Struthio camelus: one gene and its partner. The main gene of each other region encodes a partner of the protein of the gene in region 2 in a complex. Links are inferred from orthologs where the notes say so. Each region holds a gene or a part of one and is shown on either strand. Other genes may lie near its edges.

The links. Proteins that work in one complex are often made in the same cells at the same time.
Region 1: MED26 (region 2) and MED8 share a complex: the UniProt entries of both Homo sapiens proteins name them as parts of the mediator complex. The link is inferred for Struthio camelus from reciprocal best matches to the Homo sapiens genes MED26 and MED8.

The regions. Positions count from the first base shown.
Region 1 is NC_090949.1:25,439,506-25,447,244, reverse strand, and holds the start of MED8 (mediator of RNA polymerase II transcription subunit 8), read left to right. Parts: upstream 1-4,718; 5' UTR 4,719-4,811; coding exon 4,812-4,817; intron 4,818-7,739. Other genes in the region: KICSTOR complex protein SZT2, read right to left, coding at 1,172-1,303, 3,152-3,322, 3,649-3,822, 4,012-4,137, 4,656-4,685. UniProt on the Homo sapiens protein: Component of the Mediator complex, a coactivator involved in the regulated transcription of nearly all RNA polymerase II-dependent genes.
Region 2 is NC_090967.1:5,333,575-5,340,819, reverse strand, and holds the start of MED26 (mediator of RNA polymerase II transcription subunit 26), read left to right. Parts: upstream 1-4,227; 5' UTR 4,228-4,272; coding exon 4,273-4,347; intron 4,348-4,876; exon of another isoform or gene 4,877-5,023; intron 5,024-7,245. Other genes in the region: SMIM7 (small integral membrane protein 7), read left to right, coding at 158-248, 871-886. UniProt on the Homo sapiens protein: Component of the Mediator complex, a coactivator involved in the regulated transcription of nearly all RNA polymerase II-dependent genes.

The DNA of each region.
Region 1 (7,739 bases), on a different chromosome or scaffold from region 2:
AAGTTTCAGTCTCTGCCCTTCCCGTAGGGCCTCCCACCTCCACCCTATCCTATGGCAGGATTTGCCAGTCCCTCTGGCCTGGTAGTGCGTCCCTTTCCTCCATTTGCATAGAAGAAGTTGCAGGGTAGCTGAATATGAGAGAACTAACTGCAGCAAGCAGGAATGCATACAAAGCACTGCAAAAACACCAGCTGGGCACACTGGAAAAGATATTTCCTTCCTGCAAGTCGCTTGCTCTTCCGGGACTGATGGATAGACTTAATATTCAGAGGTATAAATATTTTTCAGCTAGAAGATGAGATTTACACCACTCTGGATATGCAAGTGCCAGAGGTCATCGCTAGTCTCTTGTCCACGTGATTTTGAGACTTTTTTTTTTCCTGCCTTGAGCCCAAATTCTACAAGCTAATACTAAAGGACTAAATAACCTCAACCAGGCCAGCAATGTCTTGACTACAAGAAGAGTGGCCATAGATATTGTTCATTTACGTGAGCAGTGCAGTATCACAATCCAATTTTTTCATTCCTTGTTTCCAAGATCGGGGGATGATCTTGATGAGACATCTACAGACAGCCTGAATCCCTATGAAGTCTTGCTTTACTTTTCACCTCAAGCTGTATTTTATACTGCTATTAATAACTTACTGATACCTATATCCTTGACTAATAAAAACATCTACCACAGATTTTAAGGAGTATTTGAAACTCTACAGGCTGTTTATTCAGCTTCATGGTCAGTTTTTATGGTAACAAGGAAGTATTTTCATTCAAGATTGTAACAAGGGCCAACAGAATATTCACAGCTATTTATAGATTAATGATACAATTCTAATCACCTTTCCCACCATCTTCTTCAGATAGAAAGCAGTCCTAGAAAGAAATCATAGAGTCTGTCCCATGACATCAAAGGAGTCAGGTTGCTTTACTATATAATAATCTCGGACAAGGGAAATGTTCATGTCAGTCCTTCTCCTAAACGCTTACTGCTTCTGCTTTCCTCAGAGTTCATTTTTCATGACTAGATCCCACAAAGTTCTCTTACAAACTCCTTAGTCGTTCCTTCTCCAGACCTGCACTACTGTTCCTCTCGTTGTCAGCCCACCACAGAGGGGCCTCAGAGCGCAGATCTCCAGTGAGCCAAAAAATCCCCAATGACCTCTGCCCTCCTCACCTGTGGTTTAGGTTCATACTGCTGCTGGAGCATCTTGGCCACTTTGTTCTCAAAAGCGCATAGCTGCGCGTACACTTGGTGCAGAAAGGCCTCTTGCTTCGTCTCATCCAGCTGACAGCCCTGGAATAGTACCTGGCCCAGGGATACACAAGGCAACCATTAAGTTAGGGGGTCAGAGTACCGGCCCCCTTAACAGCACACGGGAACGCAGTTCTCACCGGGGCTGTCGGGCATCTCCCTGACAAAGTACAGGTAACGCACAGGCCTCTTCCTGCGTGAGGCCAAATGCATGCATGCAGGGACGTTTCGTGGCATCTGCAGCACACTCTGCAGCAGATGCCTACAGCATTCTCTTGGAATCTCGTTCATAAGCAAGAGCTTTCTACTTCTTTTGCCTTCTTCTTGCAGTGGTCAGGAGAAAGCAGTGTGGAATCCTTGTTAAAAGCCTTTAACTCTGATGTGACATTTCCAAAGAAGGCCTGTTTTTTTTTAATCTAACTCACCTATAGACTGATCCAATTATCTTCCAGTAAGTGGATGGAAAAAGGAACAGTTCGTTGAAATAAAGACAATAAAAAATTTAATCGGATGTTACAGAAGAGGCTAAGTGATGTGACAGAGGGACACTGTCAACACAGAAACTCCCCAAGCTGATAGGCAGGACGCTCGGGCATCGTGCAGACTATCTCTGCCCAGACCCAGGTATCACAGAACACGGAGGCAAACGGGATGCAATGTGCAGACAAAGCGTTCAACAGAAGGCAAGGACGCTCCTTGTTATCATGCCATCCCCTCACCCTAAGGTGAGCACATAGTGACATGGGAAAAATAAACAATTACAACAGATATAGGCTTTCTTGGATGAGTTACACACATATGTGCCTTTTCCTCCACAAAAGGAACACACAGCTTTTTCAGTTATGTCCAGAGATGACAGTTACTGGCCTCACACAAGAAATAAGATTTTAGAACAGATCCAAAGAATAAGAAATTACCAACTTTGCAGTACTCAATTCAGTGTAAGTAGGGGAAATACTGAGGCAAAGCATGGTGATGTCTGAAGGACACCTGGACAAGATTACACACAAAATATCATGGCAAATAGGGAAATTCCTGCTAAGCATACTTTCATAGCACCTAAAAACTGACCAAGGTGAGGGCCACGCTCTTCAAGCACTGTACAGACCATTAAAGCTTGCAGCCTGCACAGAAGGCTTGGGAAGAGGTGGACCAAGGAAGGGAGAGGGAGGGAACAGGTCTATGTTGAACAGCATCATCTGGTTACCACACAATTTCTGTGGTATGACCAATGGCATGAAACACACCATCAGAAACGGGAAAATGATGTGAAACTACTGCGAGGTTGAGGGGACCGATACAAGAAGAATAAACTTCAAAAACCCCTACTGGCACTATAAACCAGAACCTGCTCTGTCTCAAGTAACTGTGAGGTTACTGGGGCTAGGCTGCTCTCTCCAGCAAGGAGAAACATACTCACACTGGTACAAAAAGAGAGCAAGGTTTGTAGGAAGAGGTAATCATCTTTGAATAAATCACTGCTACACAGTTGGAGCAGGCAGACAAGCTTTTGGGCATACCACCTCCTCTTGCATGTTTCAAGTTAATTACAACAGGCCAAAGAAATTAGTCAGCAAAACAATTTAAACAGGGGAAAAAAAAGCATTAGACATAACATGAGGGAAATATTAATTACAATCTATCTCTGAGAACATGCCTACAGGCAGCGTTCTCTGCTAGGCCCTGCTCCCCCATGAGAAACCTCTGCTTCCAGCCCAGAAAAGCTGCTCATGTGCATTCCCCCCATTGCACCAGGCTGCACGTTTGAATGAAACAAGTCTACAACAATATCTTTAACAAAGCCCAGCTAACACATGTCCCACTTCCCTTTGTGTTCACGGGCAACCAATAAAGCAAGCTGCTCACGTGCTGAGATGCGCCAAGGGAGAGACTGAATTTTACCTGATGGGACTGCAGGCCAATGATGGAGGAATATGCCTGGATGGTCACAAAGATCTCTGGCTGGTAAATAATGTCCGAACCAGGGATACGAAAGGGTCTTAACAACCCCACTAAGCATCGGGAAAGAGCGTGAAACACTTCGTCAAAAATTATCTCCCCTGTTGAGTCATCCTACAGAAACAGAGAAAAGAAACTTAGCTTCTTCATCTGCCAGGACTTTCAATCTCATTGACAGCCGCCGCACCACACAAAGCTAACAAAAAACATCCTTCTGTAACAGCAGCTGGTAAGCAAAGGCCACACATGGAGCATCCAGCAGAGACACAGGATCTGCCAGTAAGCTGACCAGCTAGGAGCATTTCATGCCTCACTCCTGGGAAAACAAGTGCTCTGCAAAAGCTAAGACTGACATAGAAAGGAACGAGCCTTCTCAGCAGAGAGAAACGAGTCCAACCTTTCAACAAAGGGCACCCCAAGAAGATAGTTTCTGCACTTACCACAATCCCCGTGGAAGGGCTCAGGTCAAGTTCAATCACAAAGCGGTACTGGCGGGCCAGGAAGGTGACCCGTGTTGAGGGCACTAGGAGATAGGGCCTAGGCTGGACAGGCTCGTCTGGCTGCCATCCATTAGGCAAGATGCTGAGAACATCCAGTTCGTTTTCCGACTTCACCTACATGAAAAGGTGAATGGTAAGTGAGAGAACATTAAGACAAGCCACATGTATCAAAGCAAGAATCAGAATAAAGAATAGGGTTAAAACCTTCTGCAGGGCCTGGCTGCTCATGAGTAGCGCAGAGCCCAGAGCCAGCTGGCCACGTCAGGATGTGGCAAGACCAACCAGCCCAGGGCACCAACTCACCAGCTCCGGCTCAGGCACAGCCCAGATGACCTGATGGAGTCGGCTGAGGACCCAAGCAAGGCGCACGTTGCGGGAGATGCGATAGTCTTTCTTCATCAGGAGGAAGACATGCCCTGCTTCCTCCACCTGCAGCGTGTGGGAGCATGGCAAGCCCCCTGGTCACCCCAGGAGTCAGCCAGCCCCCCAGAAGAGGGAAGAGGCTGGCACTGGCTGGGGCTGGCCACCACAGACCTCACCAGCACCTCCTTAGTTGGCCTTTGCCAGCATCGCTCATCTGCCCCCACATCCACCCCAAGACGTGCCTCAGCCCCTCGCCTTTCCCCCACCTGCACCAGCCCCCACGTTCCCTCACAGACCCAGCCAGCCCCATCGCTCCTAACCACGGCCCTGCCCCCCCCATATCCCCTGTTACCCCCCACCTCAGCCCTGCCCCCCAAAACCCGTTACCCCCCACCTCGGCTCTTCCCCCCCATATCCCAGTTACCCTCCCACCTTGGCCCTGCCCCCCCCAACACCCCTGTTACCCCCCACCTCGGCCCTGCCCCCCCAACACCCCTGTTGCCCCCCCACCTCGGCGATACCCCCCACACCCCAATTACCCCCCCCTTCAGGCCTGACCCCCCTCCGTCCCGGCCCGCCCCCACCTCCGCGTCGGCCCGCTCGGAGGCCGCCATGTCCGGCCGCAGGCCCCGCCCCGCCCCGCGCCCTCTGACCCCGCCCTCCGCCCGCCCCGCCCTTCCCGCGCTGCGCGCCCTGACCCGGAAGCGAAGCTCTCCCGTGGCAACGGCCGCGGTGCCGCCATGCAGGTGAGGGGCGTCGGGCTCGGCCCGGCTGCCGCCGCCGGCAGCGGGGGGGCTCTGAGGGCGCCGCAGGCCCGAGGCGAGGGCGAAGGCGAAGGGGCGCGGGGCTGCGGCTGCTCGGGCCCGGCCGGCCGGCGGCCGCCCGCGGCTCCCGGGCCTCGGCTCTGCGCAGGCCCGAGCGCAGCGTGTGTAGGCCGCGCTGGGCCTCGGCTCCCCTGCGCCCCGGAGAGGTGCAAGCAGCCAGGCAGAGTCGGCAACGCTGGCCCCGACCTCTGTCAAAGGCGCCTGCCCGGCGGCACCTGCCGGGCCGCGTCGCTGCTCGGCTGCTTGCAGGGATGGGGTCGCGCCGAGCGGCCCGGCGGGCGGGCAGCAGCTCTTCGCCGCAGGCCAGCCGTGATGCGCCTCTTTGGGAGCTTGGCCTTGCCCTCGAGCTGTTGTCCAGTGCTTTCCTGTGCAGCAACCTCCTTTTGCTGCACACGCGTAGACTGAGTATGTGTATAGATAACTGAGTCTCTTGTTCCCTCTCAGCAGCCGGTGCAGCCTTTGGTGAGAGTGGCTGCACCGGATCAGGCCAAAGGTCTGTGTCCCCCCCCCCCCCCCATCGTGTTTTTGACACTAGCCAAGAAGTAGGTGCCCGGGAAAAATGGTGAGAGCAGAGTATGCTTGAGGGCTGTTCTGTGCAGACTATTGCTAAAGGGTCCCATGTATTTAATAGCTTTTGATAAACTTTCGTCCATGGAAGAAGGATCCAGTTACTTACTGAACCTTGGGGAATTGTTAGCGTCCATAATGTCCGATGGAAAGGAGTTGCACAGGTTAATGGCAGGTTAACAGGCTGTGAAGAATTGCCTCCTTTGGTTTGTTTGAGCCTGCTACCTCCTGCTTTAATTCAAGTTTCCTAATTGTCATGCCAGAAAAGAAGGTGAAAATGGATTGTCATGCAATTCCTCGTGTACTGATGTTTGTTATATTGTCTCTCCTTCTCTTTTCTGCCGCTCACACAAACTGGTCTCTTTTCTATGTTCGACTGCTATGCCTGTAGAAGCTGACGTATGTCTTCGATCATCCTTGTTGCCTTTCTTTGTACGTACTCCTACTATATCCTTTCTGAGATAGAGGGACAACAGTTACAAACAACAGTCACGATGAAAACGAGGCATATGTTTATACAGTGATATAATGATGCTTAGTTTTATGTTCCTTTTCTAATAAATCCTATTATTGTTTTTGTTTCCTTGACTGATTCTTGAGCCTTGGGCTGATTGTTTTTGGAGGATACTCCAAAGATCTTGGTTTTTGAGTGACAATGTTATCAGTTCAGAGAATGTCATTGTTTATGAGGAGCTAGATTCCTTTTTTGTTTGTTCTGCCACGTGCATTGCTTTATGTTTACCTACACTGAATTTAACCTTTACCTCCCAGTCACTCAGTATCAGGAGGTCCTTCAGCAATCTCTCCTATAAGCCCTCTCTTTGCTACCTTGGGATAATCTAGTATTGTATAACAAACTCCTTAAAGCACTGCTTGAATATATTGTGTGCCTGCAATAGGTACAGAACTTCTTGGAAGTACTGATCTTAAGCACTGGTGAAGCCTGTACACATTACATCTGCTTCCTGCTCTTAACGGCTTTGGAGGAGGCGCTGCTGTGAGAACAATGTGTGGGCAATATGGTTGCATTCGTCTTCTTGAGGGCCTCTTGGATAAGCACAGGCCATAGGCTGCATGAATTGCCTTAGATGCATATGCCTGGCACCTCTGCAATAAACACTGGCTACCTGCCCAACTTGTAATACAGTCATTGATTAATTCTCTTGCACAAGCATAGTGCACACAACGAGTTGTAGACTCATTTCTTAATTGCACAGAAACTGCCCATCTCCATCACAAGATGGAGGAGAGCTATAGTGCTTTAATCTTCAGATGCAACACCCAGCAATCTGCTTCGAGGACTAGGGATCAGATTCTACCAAAGTTGACTCAGCCTTTTTTTTGAAGGTGGTTAAGTGAAGTGAAGTCTGGTCAGTGTTTTCTAAAGATACCTTTTATTTTCTTACCAGTTTATAAATTAAATAGAAAAATCTCATGTTCTCATGGATATAGAAGATACCTGATAATCTCTTCAATGAAGCTCATGCTAGTCCAGTTCATTTAAACAGAACAACATAAACAAACAAACCCCATAGCAAGCATGCAAACAGAATGATTCACCCTCTGTGCTTTCCCAATTGGCATTCCCTTTCTATTATTTGATTGTAATGTCCCACCCTCCAGGTGGATTATTACTGTACAGCGCTTGACTTATATTAGCAGTTTATTAGGGCTGGAACTTCAATTGTATTTTGTGCAACTCTTCTGTTGTATGAATATATAAGAACAGAAAAGATTCTAGAGAGTTTTTGCAAGAGGGTTTTTGTCTCGGTATCTTTGGCAACAGATTCCTTATCCTCTGATTTTTTGCTTGTGGCCATCCTACTTCACCCAGGGATGTTGGTGGAAAAGGAATTTAATCAGTGCAGTTCAGGCAAAAGGCAGGAGGTGACCTGCATGTGTGTCCAGGTTCTGTATGATCCCTATTACAGCAGTGCCTCCCACAACTGGTAAGGCACAAGTAAAATGGGAACTCCTAATTTCTCTAGCAGCTAGAAATGGCACTTGGGCAGGAAGAAGGTAAAGAATGAGATGAAGGGTAGAAACTGGAGTCTTTAGGCCACGGACCCGATGCTTATTTTGCACACGGCTGCTTTGGATGAAGACATTACTGTATCCACATTTGCTAGCAGAAGGAGTTGAGTGAATGCTAATTACCTTGAGCTGGGCTAGCTTAAACAGCTCACAGAAGTGGCATGAGCTAACTCTGATGACACTGTCTGAGGTGGTAAAAAGAAAATGCAAGTGATAATGTCTTCATTGTGCTCATCTGGATCT
Region 2 (7,245 bases):
TTGTTGCCTAAATTTTCAATTGTCTTTTTTTGCTCACTGACTTTTTTTTTTTCCTTCTATTTTAAACTGAGAGTTGCTTGTGTTTTCCAGCTGAAAATGTGAATTATTGATGTACAAGGCGTTTTTCACATCAAAAGTTTCTTCTCCTGATTTTCAGGTGACAACATCAGAGAGTTCTTGCTGAGTCTCAGATATTTTCGAATCTTCATTGCCTTGTGGAACGTCTTCATGATGTTCTGCATGATTGTGTAAGTAGAGCTGTGCAGCATCTTGTCATTTGTTTATCCAAAGTTATATACTTGGGGGGGGGGGAGTTACTGCAACTACCTTTTTTTCTTATCCCTCTCTCTGTCTCTCTGTCTCTCTCTCTCTCCCTCTCTCCACTTGTTCCTTAGCTACTTTTCATTTTACTTATGTCTACTTTGATCTTCAAAGACTTGACTGACTCCACAATTTTTTTGCTAATGCGTTCAACCTGTAGTACACAAAAATCTCTCTGCTGGTTTGTAAGTCATTTAGTCTTAGTTATAGGGTTTCTCGCTGTGTGTTGCTTAGATGCATCATCATTTGGTTCAGCATTTCAGTGTAACTTTTCCCTCCCTAAAATTAAGAAAACGGTAAAAGTCCTCCCAAGTAGCAGAATGGAATCAGCTTTGCAAATAGTCTCTGGAAACCACAGATGTAAGTCCTGATAGGCAGGCTAGCAAATATCTCCTCTTTTGCACTTATGTAGCTGTATGTTCTGATGTATGGGAGGGCAGAACTGATGCCCAGATGTATGCTAGTGTTTCACCCAGCTGGAATGGCGTTGCTATGACTATTAATGGTTGTACCCAATTCTCATCTACTTTTTTCTGTTGCGTCCACTAGGTTATTTGGATCTTGAAAGTCATCCACAAACATGTCTGTTAACTTGGAAGAGACTTTTGGCTGGAAACATAACTTTTCTGTAAAGTAAAAGACCATAATGCTTTCAAAATACTGCCCTGGGATTGTGGCTTGTTCTTCAGTACAAGCTCTAAAATATTAAAGGGACAGGACACGTTCATCCTCTTCAGTCAGTCGTATAATTACATGGCTTATGCTGGTTTGCTTGCTGCTTGGGGAAGTAAGCCTTTAGGCTCCTGAGCCAAAATGTTCAAAGTAAAATCATTTCAACGTTACTCAAATAGAGAACTTTAAATTGTTTTGGTTGGCTTAGAGTATGGTGCTTAGTATTCAGTGTAGAATTGCAGCATAATGGAAGACCACAGACTTAAAACTGTGCAGTTTTAGTCATTCCCAGCTCTTGACGTGTCTGCCAATGTCATGATTGTCTAGGTTACTTGAAATCTCACTTCTTTATTCTCATTTTTATAAAGTTGAGCAAAGTATTATACTGTTTTAAGTTTGAAAACAGCGTCCATTTTTTCCTCACTGTTACATTTAGTTTGTTTGAGAAATACACAAAGATGATGAAAAACATGTGATTCTCTTTATTTTTTCCAACAAAATGCTTTTTAAATTAAAATTTCAAAGATGGTGTTTTTTTCCTAAACAAAACGTAGGAGGAGTTGAATAGAAAAATTGCAGAAATTGTTCTATATGCCAACCCTAAGGAACAGTTTTGGAATCATTTTGGATTTGGTTGAATATAGAGGTTCTATTCATGGGTAAAAATGTGTTTGATGTCCGTGTTCATTCTACTGCATGAGAAATCAATTCAGTATCAATGTTTCTGAGAAATTTTAACTAGTCTGTGTTGCAACTGTGACTGGCTTTTGATGGTATTTATTTATGTTGTTAGCCTCTTTGACTCATAACTTTCCCCCAGCATCACCAAAATAACTTGACAGAGTGCAGTGCTGGTTATCTTTTAAAACAAAGTGAAAACTATTAGTGGAACTTTCTCAGCCTCAATTTCTTCAGCTATGTAACTGTTGAGAAGAAAGAGAGGCCTCAAGATTTTAAACCGAGGCTTGGTTTTAACCAATACCTTGAATTTTATCTGGATGCAGCCAAGTAGTCAGCACACAGGTGTCATCTGCTCGCAGCAGTTCACTCCAGTGATGCATTTTTGTATTACCTGAAGTGTTCAAAGTGTTCATCCGCTCTTTTGGGGATGCCTCGCAGTCATGAACATAGACGAATATATGGAGAAAAGGATCCTTCAAGAGAGGTTTGTATTGCACAGAAGCATTTACAATCTTCGGCTAAATTATAGGAGATGTCTTGTGTGTAATTTTTGTATTTTATACCTTAACTCTTTTCTAATGTATTTTTAATGAGTAAAAGAGAGTAATGTGCTGTTCTTGTCATGGTATCTGTGAGATGGCATCCAGACAAGTCCACTGCTTTATATAATCCTTGGAAAGCATTTTCTCCCTAACGTTCATTCAGCTGAGTCTTCCTCAGTGAAATGTACATGGCAGAGATTGTAAGAAGTTTTTATCAGTTTTATGCCTAAGCCACTAGAGGGCCCTTATAGTCAGCAGAGAAGCACTCGGGTCTCATTTTCAGACTCTGGGTTTTAATTCTCACTCAGAAAAATGGTTGTTCCTGTGCAGAACTCATATTCCGCTTTCTGAGTGACCCTTTGAATATGGCGAACACAGGGAATGGAGGATGATCAAACTCTACTGGTAAAGGAAAATACACAATTTTAAAGCTCCAAATAGATAATGCAGATTAATACTGAGTGCTGTCACCCCAAAATTTCAGTTCTTCAGAAGAACAGAAGTTCAAAGGTAGTCGTTCTGCTCCCATCCAACTGCTTTAGAAATGACGAGAGTAGTTAATTTGGAACTGCTCTTAAATGCTGTGGAAGGGCTGACTGCTTACCAATTGTCACGTCCGATGTCCATCAGTACAAAATCTTGTACATTTGCTTTTGTACTCAGTCCAATTACGTATGATAAGCTTCTAAAAACCTAACTTGTGCTTTCTTCAGAATCAAGGAGAGGCAGTAGAAGAGACAAGTTAAATATGTCTTTGAACAGAACGGTATTTGTTAAGATTTTGTAGGCTTAGCTCTTTCCACATAGCAATTGTAAGTTTATCTATGTATAGTTTGTATGTAATGTCAGAGTTACCTCACCCGTTGTTTTGAAAATAATGAAAATCTGAAGTTCCTCTACTAGGCAAAAACTTCTCTTAGTCTTTTGTGAGTTTGGAATTGGAAATCATTTCTTTCAGAACACATTTGACTTTTCACAAGCAAGTAGGAGTGTGTATCACCTTCCTGCAAGCATAAACTAAGGCCTCAAAATGTGTGCGTTTGCCTTGTGTCTTTAATAGCTGAGTAATGGCCCTAGGAAGAGATGCTAAGAGACAGCATGGGTGAGGAAAGCAGTAAAAGCATTTTTTTTTAAACGGTACACTGCAGAAGAGGAAGTATTTTTTTGTTTATTTCCATCTTTCAGTTGGACCTAAGCTGTGTACAGATTTACACGGTACTGAACAGTAGCTGCTGAGAGTGGGTTTTCTCTGATACCCAACACTGACTCTTGGGCTACATCTCTTAAGGTTAATTCTTCAAGTACATAGATGCAGGAGAAATGAATATATATCTAAAACGTGTCTTCACATCGGACATCTAGGAACTGCCTCTTGTAGACGATGACTCCCAGAAGTGCTGACAGAGCAGGGACTATTCAAACCTTTGCAAATAAACGCCTTGGCGTCCCGAGGGTGTCCTGTGCTTCGTTCCCCTGCGCTGCGGGGGCGCCGGTTGCCGGGGGGGGGGGGAGCGGGGGCTGCCCCCAACCGCCGCACCGGTTCGAGACGGCGGCCAGACCAGGCCCCGCCACGCGCTTCTTCCCCCCCCCGCCCCGGACGGCTCCCGTCGCCGGGCCGGCCCCCCCCTTCCCCCCGACAGGCACCTCGCGGCCGACTGCGCATGCGCTGCACCGCCACCCCCGCCGCCGCGGCGCATGCGTGCCCGCCGCTGCGTGCGCCGTACGGCGGCAGACGTCAGAGGCGCGCCGTGCGTAACGGCGTCGGGCGTGTCCCATGGTGCCCTGCGCGGGGCTGGCTCCTGCCCACAGTTGAGTTCGGCCCCGAGCGGAACAGTCGGGCCCGGCCCGGTCGCGCCGCCGCGGCCCCCCCGCGCCCCGCCCCGCCCCGCGCGCCGCTCCCCCCCCCTCCCCCGCCTGGCGGGGAGCGATCATGCCACTCCGGCTCCCCGAGGAGGCCGCCGCCGCCGCCGCCGGCGAGTGAGGAGCCGCCGCCCCGGCCCGGCCCGGCCCCGCCGCCCGCCCGCCCCGGCCGCAGCCGCCCCGCTTCGCCCAGGCAATGACAGCGGCTCCGGCGCCCTCCCCGCAGCAGATCAGGGACCGGCTGCTGCAGGCCATCGACCCGCAGAGCAACGTGAGTACGGCCCGCCGCGCCCGCCGCTCGGGTGCCGGCAGCGCGGGGGACGCCGGCCGCGGGCAGCCCCCCTCCCGCCCGGGGGGTCCCGCCGCGGCTCGTGGGCCGCGCGGCCGCCGCCTCCGCCCGCCCGCCGGGACCCCGGCTGCGGCGCGGCTCCTCCCCGGGCACCGGAAGCCTCCGCTGCGGGCGGCAGCGGGGAGCTCCGCCGGCGCCGTGCCCGCCGGGGGTCCCGCGGCGCCTCGCTGCTCCGCGCGGCGGGGCCGGTACCGGAACCGGCGGTCTCTCCGCTGCCGGGGGGCCGCGTCCTTCCGCCGCTCCCCCCCGCCCCGGGCCGGCTGCCGCTGCCCGGCCATGCGGCGTGCGGCCCGGCGGCCTCCCGACGCCAGGCCGCGGCTCGGGCGCGGCCTGCAGGGGGCTCTGGGCCGGCTCCCGCCGCCGCTCGCCGGGACCCTCCGCGGCGCCCACCTGTTCCTCGGGCCCGGGGCCCCCCCCGGCCGGCCGTACCGGGGCGCCTGGAGGCGCCGGACGGTGGTTTGGCGGCTCTGGCGCAGGGCAGGCTCGCTCCTCGCCTTTATCCCTCTCCGCACGGCGCTAATGAGCTTATCCGCTGGCTCTGGGATGTAGCGTGAGCGCAGAAGTCGGCGTTTGCTTCACCTGTAAGTGGGTTTCACCTGTAAGTTGCGGTTATCTGAAGTGTTATTTAATCCATTTAAGGTTTTTGGCATGTTAAAGCAGTTTTCCGCTTAGGCGTTTGTTTCTGGGAGAGGACTGCGGAGTCTGCAATCTGTCAGATTGCTAAATCTTAGCTCAAAAGTCACTACAGCAGGATGCAAAGGTGGGTTTGGCTTGACCATCTGTGGCTTTTTGGGGGGGGGGGGCGGGCACAGCTAAGGGTGCGTCGCACTGAATGGCAGTTCCAGGAGGCTGGGTATATAAAACAAGGTTTTGACTCTATTAAAGTCATACTTCTTTCCTCTTAATAACTATATTCGGTATTAGATGTGTATTGCAATCTTGAAGTAGCTAATAAAGTTCTTGCAGTTTGGAAACGTTCTAGAGCAGCCTGTGTGTGGCATGAAAACTGAAGAAAAATCACCCTGACCTTGTAATTTCTTGAGTAATCTACTATGATGTACATCTGTCGTGAGCAGGAGCATTACATGTTCTAGTAACAGTAACGAATTGTAATGGCAATTGTGGGCTTTTAAATGTCAAAGTTATTCAAGTTTGCAGTACTTTAACTCGGTTCTTAGTGAGATGTCTGTATACTTCATGAATTCTGTTTGCTCTGGGTTCTCTTGGTGGCTGCAGTCTTTTCACTTGACATTAGACTGAGCACCTACCTAGTTTAATAAAACTCTTAAGAGATCTGTGGCTTCTTTTAACTTTAAAGCTGTTGGCAGCCCTGGTTCTCCTACCTCTGGTGTTACTTTCTAAAACACTGTGGCTGTAAGTAACCAGGAGATATATTTTATGATGGATACTTCTCCCTTTCCCCATCCATTAATGCTAAATAATGCTGTATTTTCTGATGCCTCTAAGAGTGCTTCCAGCTTGGTTGTGACGAGGGGGTTCAGAAATAACTAGACAATTCTCTGCAAAGGGAAGTAGAGCATCAGCCAGCAGCTCTGCTGAGCTTCTGACAGGTCAGTAGCCGCATATGCTTGAAGAGTAGTGTATATTAAGTTATAATTCTACATACTTGATACTTATCCAGGGCAATAATTAGTGGTGGAAAAATCGCCCCATTGTTTAGAAATGCCTGTAGGCAGGGGGCTGTCTTCCATTTTAACCTCTTCCTCAAATGAGACTGGCGTAGCTGAGGTTAGTTGGTGCAGACTTAGATGTCAGAGGTTTTTTTTTTCTCTGAAGCCTGTAGAATAGATGGTAAACAATAGATAAAACTACCTGTCTTGCTGTTTTCATGAAGGGAACAAAAAACTTAAATCTTGAACACTTTTAAAAGTAAATTCTGAATTGAATCTGACTCGAGTCCCAATGTGAAAGTATAAGAAACTGCTCTGATAATCTTTTCCTGCAGTAAGAAGTTAATGCAGCTTTGAGCCGCAGTGCTGTTAGCACTGGCAGAAAATTGTAGCTCCTTTCTTCTGGCCTTTTAGACTCTTGTGTTAAAAGAAGTGCTTGCATTCAAACTTAAAAGTATTCATTATTGTGATTGACTTCCTTGTTTACCAAGAAAGACAAGCTGTGAGGCCTGGATTTCATTCAGACTTTTCCAATATAATTGTTGCTGTGTATATGTGCATGTTTCTGGAGGGGAGTAAGGGTGAAAACTGCCCTGATACCCTCACGTGTGCAGAAGGCCAATCCAGTTTTGTGAGGGTGAGGAGAGGGAAGACTATTCTCTGTAGTGCTTTAATTTGGGATGATTTGAATTTAAGCTTCACTGATATGTTCTCTAATACAAGCTGTTTCTCTTCTGTGGATATCCCAATGTAACTGTAAAGGTCTTTGAAGTGCATACAGAGCTGGAGTAACTCTGATGTCCTGCTTTAACAAAATAAAAAATAAATTGCCCTATCTGTGTTGAGTTTAGTTGTTCAGAGTAATCTTTTCCCCAGGTTCTTGGTACCTGCTTGCTATCAGAAGTCATCTTCTGCACCAATTGTTCATCTTTGTTTTAACCACTGCGTTAAGCCCTGTTTTAATTGTACAGATGCATTTAGCGCTTGAGATCTCTTCTAGTAATTGATGCAGAACATACTTATAACTTAGTTTCACACACTTAGTTTAGAGTTTACATGTATGACCTTTATTTCAAAGGACACCTATAAGAAATAAACTGCTTAAATACTGTCTCGTTTGGGAAGCCACTCAAGGTATCTGGTATTATATATTCCCTTATTCAGCCTTTTCCCTTTGGGGGGAAAAAAT